Linked DNA regions of Arabidopsis thaliana. The protein of the gene in region 1 interacts with the protein of each later gene in a pairwise test. Each region holds a gene or a part of one and is shown on either strand. Other genes may lie near its edges. The genes, in order: ATRER1C1 and VP2.

Region 1 (3,924 bases):
ATTATTTTCTCACTGAAAAAAGGATGTAAAAAAATAAGATTGTACATTGAGTTCAGGTGAAACCAGTAAAATAGTCAGGATGATAAAAGAGCAAAATATGTCTATCTCTACTTCATCCCTAACAAAGATATAGGCCATCAAAAGAGAACAAAAGACCGACCTTTTCAAATGCTACTTCTCTCAAAAGACTGTAAAATTGCTGACCTGAACAGTTTTGATTGATCATTCACTGCTCTCTGTTGGAGCCGGTTTCTTTCCATACTGCTGCAAGGGAAAAACAAACCGAGGATGAAGTTAGAAAACTTACTCAACTTGTTCAGACGTTAGAGTCAGTTCTGTGAAGGAAGGAAAGAAAAAGAAACACACACCTTTTTCCCAAAAGAGAAAGGGACATATCTGTATTTGATCATATGCTGTATCTGTTTCCTCATCGTAAGGAAAAACAACATCACCCAGTAGAAGAGAAGTATTGGCCAGAATACAGGTACATCAAACACCTCGAAGAACGTCATCATAAATCCGATGATGAAAGCCCTTATGATCGATAACCTTCATGGCAAAAAACACACACACAACATTCCACATCAAAAAATCCAAAGGACATCAAATCGAGACTTCATCACATTCTAGATTGATAAACCTAAAAAGAATTCATACAAAGGCTTCACAAAGTGAATCTTGTCGATCTCTTCTAAATTTGGTTCTAAATCTTGCTAAAAATGTAGTTTCTCTGCAGAATTGAATCAATCTAGCTACATCAAAGTCCACAATAATTGAATTCCTCAACAAGTAAGTCATCAAACATCATTATCAATCATCTGATCTAACGATTCAGTCATGAATTCATCTGCAATCAAACCAATAACGCTACTAAAACCCTAGATCAGATCTACGTAATCTAACTATATCAAAGTCTACAATAGTTGAATTCCTTAACAAGTAAGTCATCAAGCTTCGTCATCCTCTCAAGTCTCAATCGATAAAGTGAATCAAACCAATAACGCTATGCTCAATTTCACTACTAAAACCCTATATCAGATCTAACAAAATCAATAATACAGAATCAAAGAGACGAACCAGAATTTGAACTCAGGGAGACGGCGAACGAAAGGACGATACTCATCGGATCTCCGAGTAGGAAGAGAACCACCGGAAGTGAGAGAAGCTTCGGGATCTTCTTGAGGAGATAGAAAAGCAATGATGAGATTCAAAAGGTAGATGCCGATGGCGTAAGTGATGATGTAGAAGCCTTCCACAAAGTAAACACGAACGATGTAGATCAATACAACACAGAGACATGCGATCCATCGATAGAGAACGTGAGGAACCGTTTTGTCGAGAAGATGTTGTTGTCGCTGCGAAAAGGCGTGGATCAATCGGTTAACGGCGTCGGCGGGAGATGATGAGTCGCTTGATTGGAGATTATCATCGGTGGCGGTGGCGGTGGTGGCGGCGGCTGCCGGAGGTACAACAGCCGTTGCTGCGGATTCCATCGGTGGATACTCTCTCTGTGTCTCTTTGGTTTGATCTCTCTCTCTACCTCGGAAAATGCGACGGAGGAGACGGAGATTCGTAGATTTGGATTTGGGACTTTTTGGGAGATCAGATCAGATCATATCCGGTTTACGGAAGATCTACTATTTACTATCCGAACCGGTTGAAATTATACGATCAATCTATCGGTTTACTTGCGGGTTTAGTGGTTCAGAAATTATTAAACGATTTATATGATTGGTCTACTGGTTGAAAATATAGTATAACACATTAACTTATGTTTGAAGATTTAAGTATATGGGAGCCAACTCCAAGTCTCCAACACAAACCGAACTTACACTAAATTAAACAAAAAACGATTACAAACCAAGCTAACCTAGTGGTAGTATCCTAAAGAATCATATATAAAAACTCAAGTGGACAAACAACAAGAAAGAACAATTTGCATCATGTGTATATACTTTGGCCATAGAGAAACGCTTAGAGACTAGAGTTAGTGTAAGATCAAACGTTAATAGTGTCCGTAATGGTACGATGGACTCTTAGCCGATGAGCTAATAGGATATCTTTCAAACACTACTAACGCCTCTTTCATGGTCGGTCTCTTTTGTGGAATTTGAGATGCACAACTATATCCCAATTTGAAAAGGCCAAGTAAAAAGTCCTCTTTGCCTTCCAATTCGGAGCGGATCGCTACATCAGCCATTATTAGCGCCCGGTTCCCGTCCTCTACGGTCAGCCCATTTCCTACCCCCACCTCGTCTATCGACACTATTTTTCCCGTGAGCAGCTCGAGGAGGATCACTCCAAACCCAAACACATCCCATTTCGGGTTTGGTTTGAGATTGCGGAGCGACTCGGGTGCGCAATAGGGAGATATGGGCCCAACGGAGCTTGGACTTGGGCTCGGTGTGGGCCCGATGGTACCAAATTCACGCGAGGATGCTGTCAATCGCTTGCTACTGAAAATCCGAGATGATCCACTAGCTCGGTTATAGCTAGTATCCCCGGCGAGAAGCCTTTCGAGCCCGAAATCTCCGATCTTGGGCTCCATATCTTGGCCCAAGAGTATGTTACTAGGCTTCAAGTTACCGTGCACATGTTTCTTGTCGTGGAGGTAAGCAAGCCCACGAGCCAAACCTTTTACTATCTTGAGCCGAGTCTCCCACGGTAAATGGCACGGCGAAGACCCTCCTTTCCCTGTCCAATAGCACAAAGAATCAAAATTTGACCAGCCGTTGACTTTATTAATACAGGTGTAATTTAACTACTACCAACTAATATGAACACAGTAGCAAAACCCTGGTGATGCTAGCGTGCGACTTGATCTTATGCTAACATGTGCCTTTATCATAAAGCGAGGAAAAAGATTGAAATGTGAAAGAGATGATTTTGACTCACTGTAACGGGCGTTGACGAGACTGCCGTTAGGAACAAAATCGTAAATGACCAATTTCTCGTCGGTGCCCCAATAGAATCCACGAAGACGTACCAAATTCGGGTGAACCAATTTACCAATAGCTCGAATATGTGCCTCAAAGTCTTTAAACCGGCGTTGTTGACTCAAACCATTCTCACCTAACCGACGAACCGCGAGAACCGTACCGTCCTCAAGAACAGTCTTGTACATTATACTCGAACCAGTGGCTCCTAAAATGTAAGCAGAAGCCTTAAGCAAAGTTTCAACTTCAAGCTCTTTCTCTCCTCCATCAATGGTTACTAAAGTCCCTTTCTTATTCTCTCCAATCTCTCCTGACCGTTGATTTTCTTCGTCTTCTTCTTCGGTTTCATCGGTTTCTTGATTCTTACGGAGACATGACCATTTTGCAAATCTGCTTGATTGTTCTGGAGATGAAGAAGATGTAGTTGTTGATGATGATGGTGATAACGAAGTTGTGTCTTTAGCTTCATGAGCTTCTAGGCTATGATTGTTCTTCTTCTCCACTGTCTTGTTGTTTTTGTATTTATAAACGTAGAAGAAGATAAGAGCGAGGATTCCGATTCCGGCGATATCTCCGACTATGATTCCGATTATAACTCCTGGTCTTAACCCGGTTCGAGGATTTGAGTTGTTGTTCGGTTCGGTTTCTCGATTAGACCCGATTGATTTAGGTATAGCTGCGAGTGCAGGTGTAGAGGTTGGTGGCGAGACGGTGGCCGGAGATGAAGGAATGGGACACGGGTTTCGGGTCGGACCTCCGCATAAACCCGGGTTTCCGGAAAACGAAATTGATTTCTGGTTAAGGTAAACCGGAGAATCTGGGATTGAACCGGTTAAATTGTTGAAGGAGAAATCAACGGTGGCGTTTTGAGGAAAACCGGCACCAACATTCGGAGGAATCTCTCCGGAGATTTGGTTATACGAGACATTCAGGTATCGGAGATTGTCGCCGGAGAAATCAGGTGGGAGTGAACCGTTGATTAGATTTG
Region 2 (3,924 bases), on another chromosome or scaffold:
AGAACTGTTACATACTACCTGATTATTAGTTTAAGTTGTTCCTTGTTACTATTGGAAGCCTACAGATGAATGGCTAAATGCCGATGAAGAAGATATTTAATAGTATGCACAACATGCGCATGTTATCACTCACCTCCAGAGCAGCTTGATCCTGAGGCGTGCCATTGAGAGTTGTTTCAAACTCTTTGAGCCTTTGCTGCAAAATGAAAAAAAATCGAGATGTTTACTACGTATCTTACTTTATTCAGATTATCAAAGTTCATGAACGAAATCTTCATGATCAGCCCCTAATATTACCTGAAGCGTGGCTTTCTCTTCTTCTGAAATTTGATTTTTAACTACTGTTGTGTTCTTAGTTGGACTATCACTGAAAAGTGGTAAAAACATTGTTAGAACTGACACCGGCTAAATTACATGACAACATGACTTGGTATGACAAAAATGTGAAATTACGGAAACCAACCCAGCTGATCCTAAGAACATATGATGTCATCAGAATCTTTACACAAACAATTACAAACTGGAATAAAAAGAAGGAAAATGACAAACAGTAACATGGTGTAAATGACACAGTTATGACTTGGACTTCACTTAACGCACCTTCCCGTGGGAAGAAAGTCACCAAGAGCAAAAACCAAACCAAATACAACAACAGCTATGCCAACTCCAACCTGTCATGGCATGGGCCCAAGTTTTGTCATGTTATGTATGAGTAGCTTATAGGCCTCAAGTGGTTTTAGAACAAAATAAAAAATAAACACTTGCAAGATGTTATGTATGCGTACCTTAGTACCAAGACCAATTGTTTTCTGGTCAGACTTGACTGGTGCATCATAGTCAATTGGACCAAATTCTTTAACTACTTCTGTCTTTTTCTGCTCAAGAGCTGACCTGATTCATCAAAAGAGCAGAGGTCACAGAAATAACATTCCGATCAGTGGGAGGACAATGATCTTGACTATGTCTAGGGGGTGAGGGAAGTGGAAAGCAAGACAAGTGATGAACAAATCAAGAAAAAAAAAGAATCAAACTTTCATAGGAAGATCATGTCGTTGTGGGTATAATGAGAAAGTCAAGTGTGATTGTCAGAGGAATAATCCTATTGTAACCTATATATCTCTAAAGCCAATCTTCATGCTAGAATCATAAAACATAGGTACCTTCTGATGTTTTCCAGCCGTTCATCGAAGTCTATATCAAAAGATCGACCAGATTTTCCTTCAAACTGAGTATTCAGACCAGGTGCCTCTGCAAACAAATGCAGGAGTTTCTTGAGCAAACCTTTCAATTGAAACCAACTTTTTGAGATAAACTGAAGAATGCAAAAATGAAGTTATGTTCGAGACACCATGAAGGAGAGCAGCAACATCTGTTACGTACAATATGCTTTAAAATCAAATTATACTTACTTCTGGGTACAGAAACAGACTGTTTAGAAGATGATTTCCTGCAGCAAAGAAGTCCATATGAAAATATAACAACAGCAATTTAAAATTCTAAATGCTTTAAACAAACACAAAAACTATTTATACCTTTGCTGCAATGCCGGGTCTTTCTCTTCCTGTGATGCGATTTCACATTTTTGTCTCAGTACTTTGAATCAACAAAATTAAGTTGAACAAAGAAGAATTTGGAATCAAACCTTTTTTGAGCCGAAGCCACGCTTAGGGTTAGAATCCGAGCAACGTATTCGAAATAGGAGAAGCTTCGAGTTAAATGAAACGGAGGTCGTCGCCGCTAGTGTCATCAACATCCTCTGTTTGTATTGTCCTAACCAAAACAGAGAATTTTCTAAGAAAGTTTCAAAGAAATAATGAGAAGTAACGGCTACGAAGAGAAATTCGTCCGCCGGAGATTGACGATGAAAGGTGAGCTCCGTGATCGGGCCGGTAAGATAACGTTAGTGGTTCTTCTTCTTCTTCACTTTGCAGATTGTCTATTATATGGGCCGAATGGCAAAACATAATTTTGGGCTAGGCCCATATAATATTCAAATGTTAATATTCCAAAATTGATGGGTATTTTTGATAATTTAACTCGATCTATATAATTTAACAAACGAGGATGATTTTAAGTTTTTAACTTTTTAAGTGAGAATAGTGATTAAGTGTCAACGACTCATTGGATAGGATGTGTCATAAAATTAGTATTGAACCACTGAGGAGTGAAAATAAAATTAAAGGTAGAAAAATTAATTTAGGAAAAAAATATTCGGAAAGTTCTGTGAAAAGTCTTCGGATTTAGAACGGAGACAGCGAGAGGATAGAGCGCTTCTTCGGCTACAACAAGCTTTCGCTAATGGCGGTTTCCTTCTGATCACTCTCACCGGAGCCGTCATCTTCTCTGTTTTACCGATTTTTAGGGTTTGTTTCCGGATAAACTCTTCGTATGCTTTTTTTTTTTCGTTGGATTCGTTTCTGGAAACGTATCCATTTCCTGTCTAGAGATCATGTGAATTTCTCTTAGAACAGAACTCAGATCTAAATTAAAGTAACGGTGCTTGATTCATTAAACTCGGAATGCAAAGTCCCTTGCGTTTTATTCACTGAAATCTTAGTCGATTAGATCTTGAGGTCTGTTTGTTAATCGCACTTTTCTGGGGAATTGATCGTAGAAGCAATTACGCTCATGGGAAATGATGAAAGTTATAGCTAAACTTTACTGTAGAACCTTACTCTGATTATATTTCATTTAAAAATGCTATTTGGTTGGTAAAGAGAAACATCACAACTTTTCATACTTTTCTATTTTTTTCAGAAATTTTGATTGTGGTGGAAACTTGTTGTGGCAACTCTACTGAGAAAGTTTGAAGAAGCTGGAATCAAAGATATAGCTAGAGTTAAGAGGGTTCATACTAACTTGTGCTCGTTTTGTGATGTGCTGTTGTTAACGTTTGGAGGAAAAAGTTGTAGTGTATTAAAATTCAGCGTCCGAGTTCTGGGGCGGAGTTGCCCCATAGCATTGACTTTACGCCTCTACACATAGTCCGAAGGGCTAATTCAGCTCAAAACATGATGATGGATGAAGATGTTGAGCAGGCCAGTTTGATGTCTTTCAATGACAGGCCTAGGGCTTTTCCCAACATGCGTAGTAAAACCTATAGTCCACTGGTACAACTTTTATTCCTCTCTTTCTTGAGTGCTTTTCTTTTTGCTTGCATCAGATCACTGAGATGCGTATTATAACTAGTTTCCTTCTATTTCGTTTAGCATCTTAGTTTCTTGAGCATCTCGTTTTCATTTTCTTTGAAATTGTATAAAGTTTAGTTGTTTTTTGGCAGATATTCCGGATTATTAGGAAATTAAATGTCCGTGTCCTTTCGATAATTCTGCTTTTCTGCTTCGGAGCAATCTTTTACATGGGGGCAAGTACTTCTCCCATCATCGTGTTCGTCTTCACAGTATGCATCATCAGCTTCCTTTTGTCAATATATCTAACCAAGTGGGTTTTAGCGAAAGATGAAGGACCTCCAGAGATGGTTGAGGTAAGCTCACTCAGATTATGTGGTGTTAGTCATGATGTTGACATTTTTCCTTCTTTGTTCTCATCAAAAATTTGTAATTCTAATTTGTGAGGTAATTCTCTTACTTATAGATATCAGATGCTATACGTGATGGAGCTGAAGGTTTTTTCAGAACGCAGTATAGCACTATATCCAAGATGGCCATTTTGCTAGCTTTTGTGATTCTTTGCATATATCTATTCCGTAGCTTAACTCCCCAGCAAGAGGCTGCTGGTTTAGGAAGGTGCTGATACATGATTACATTCACAAGATTTATTTTATCTTTTGAATTGTTGTGAATGAAGCTTAGCCATATTACTATTTTGCTGCAGGGCGATGTCTGCTTATATTACTGTTGCTGCATTTCTTTTGGGGGCTCTATGCTCAGGTATTGCTGGATATGTTGGAATGTGGGTGTCAGT

What was found.
Region 2: the proteins of ATRER1C1 (region 1) and VP2 interact in a protein complementation assay, tested with the Arabidopsis thaliana proteins (one large-scale study listed by BioGRID).

What each region holds. Positions count from the first base shown.
Region 1 is NC_003071.7:9,915,212-9,919,135, reverse strand, and holds the start of ATRER1C1 (Rer1 family protein), read right to left. Parts: upstream 1,694-3,924; 5' UTR 1,494-1,693; coding exon 1,078-1,493; intron 550-1,077; coding exon 369-549; intron 265-368; coding exon 223-264; 3' UTR 1-222. Other genes in the region: AT2G23300 (Leucine-rich repeat protein kinase family protein), read right to left, coding at 2,006-2,694, 2,896-3,924. UniProt on the Arabidopsis thaliana protein: Involved in the retrieval of endoplasmic reticulum membrane proteins from the early Golgi compartment.
Region 2 is NC_003070.9:29,669,329-29,673,252, forward strand, and holds the start of VP2 (vacuolar H+-pyrophosphatase 2), read left to right. Parts: upstream 1-2,166; 5' UTR 2,167-2,363; intron 2,364-2,451; exon of another isoform or gene 2,452-2,663; intron 2,664-2,757; 5' UTR 2,758-3,011; coding exon 3,012-3,110; intron 3,111-3,280; coding exon 3,281-3,484; intron 3,485-3,594; coding exon 3,595-3,746; intron 3,747-3,834; coding exon 3,835-3,924. Other genes in the region: AT1G78915 (Tetratricopeptide repeat (TPR)-like superfamily protein), read right to left, coding at 134-196, 298-367, 423-473, 592-671, 786-891, 1,161-1,248, 1,410-1,447, 1,533-1,561 and 1 more. UniProt on the Arabidopsis thaliana protein: Pyrophosphatase active in both inorganic pyrophosphate hydrolysis and H(+) translocation.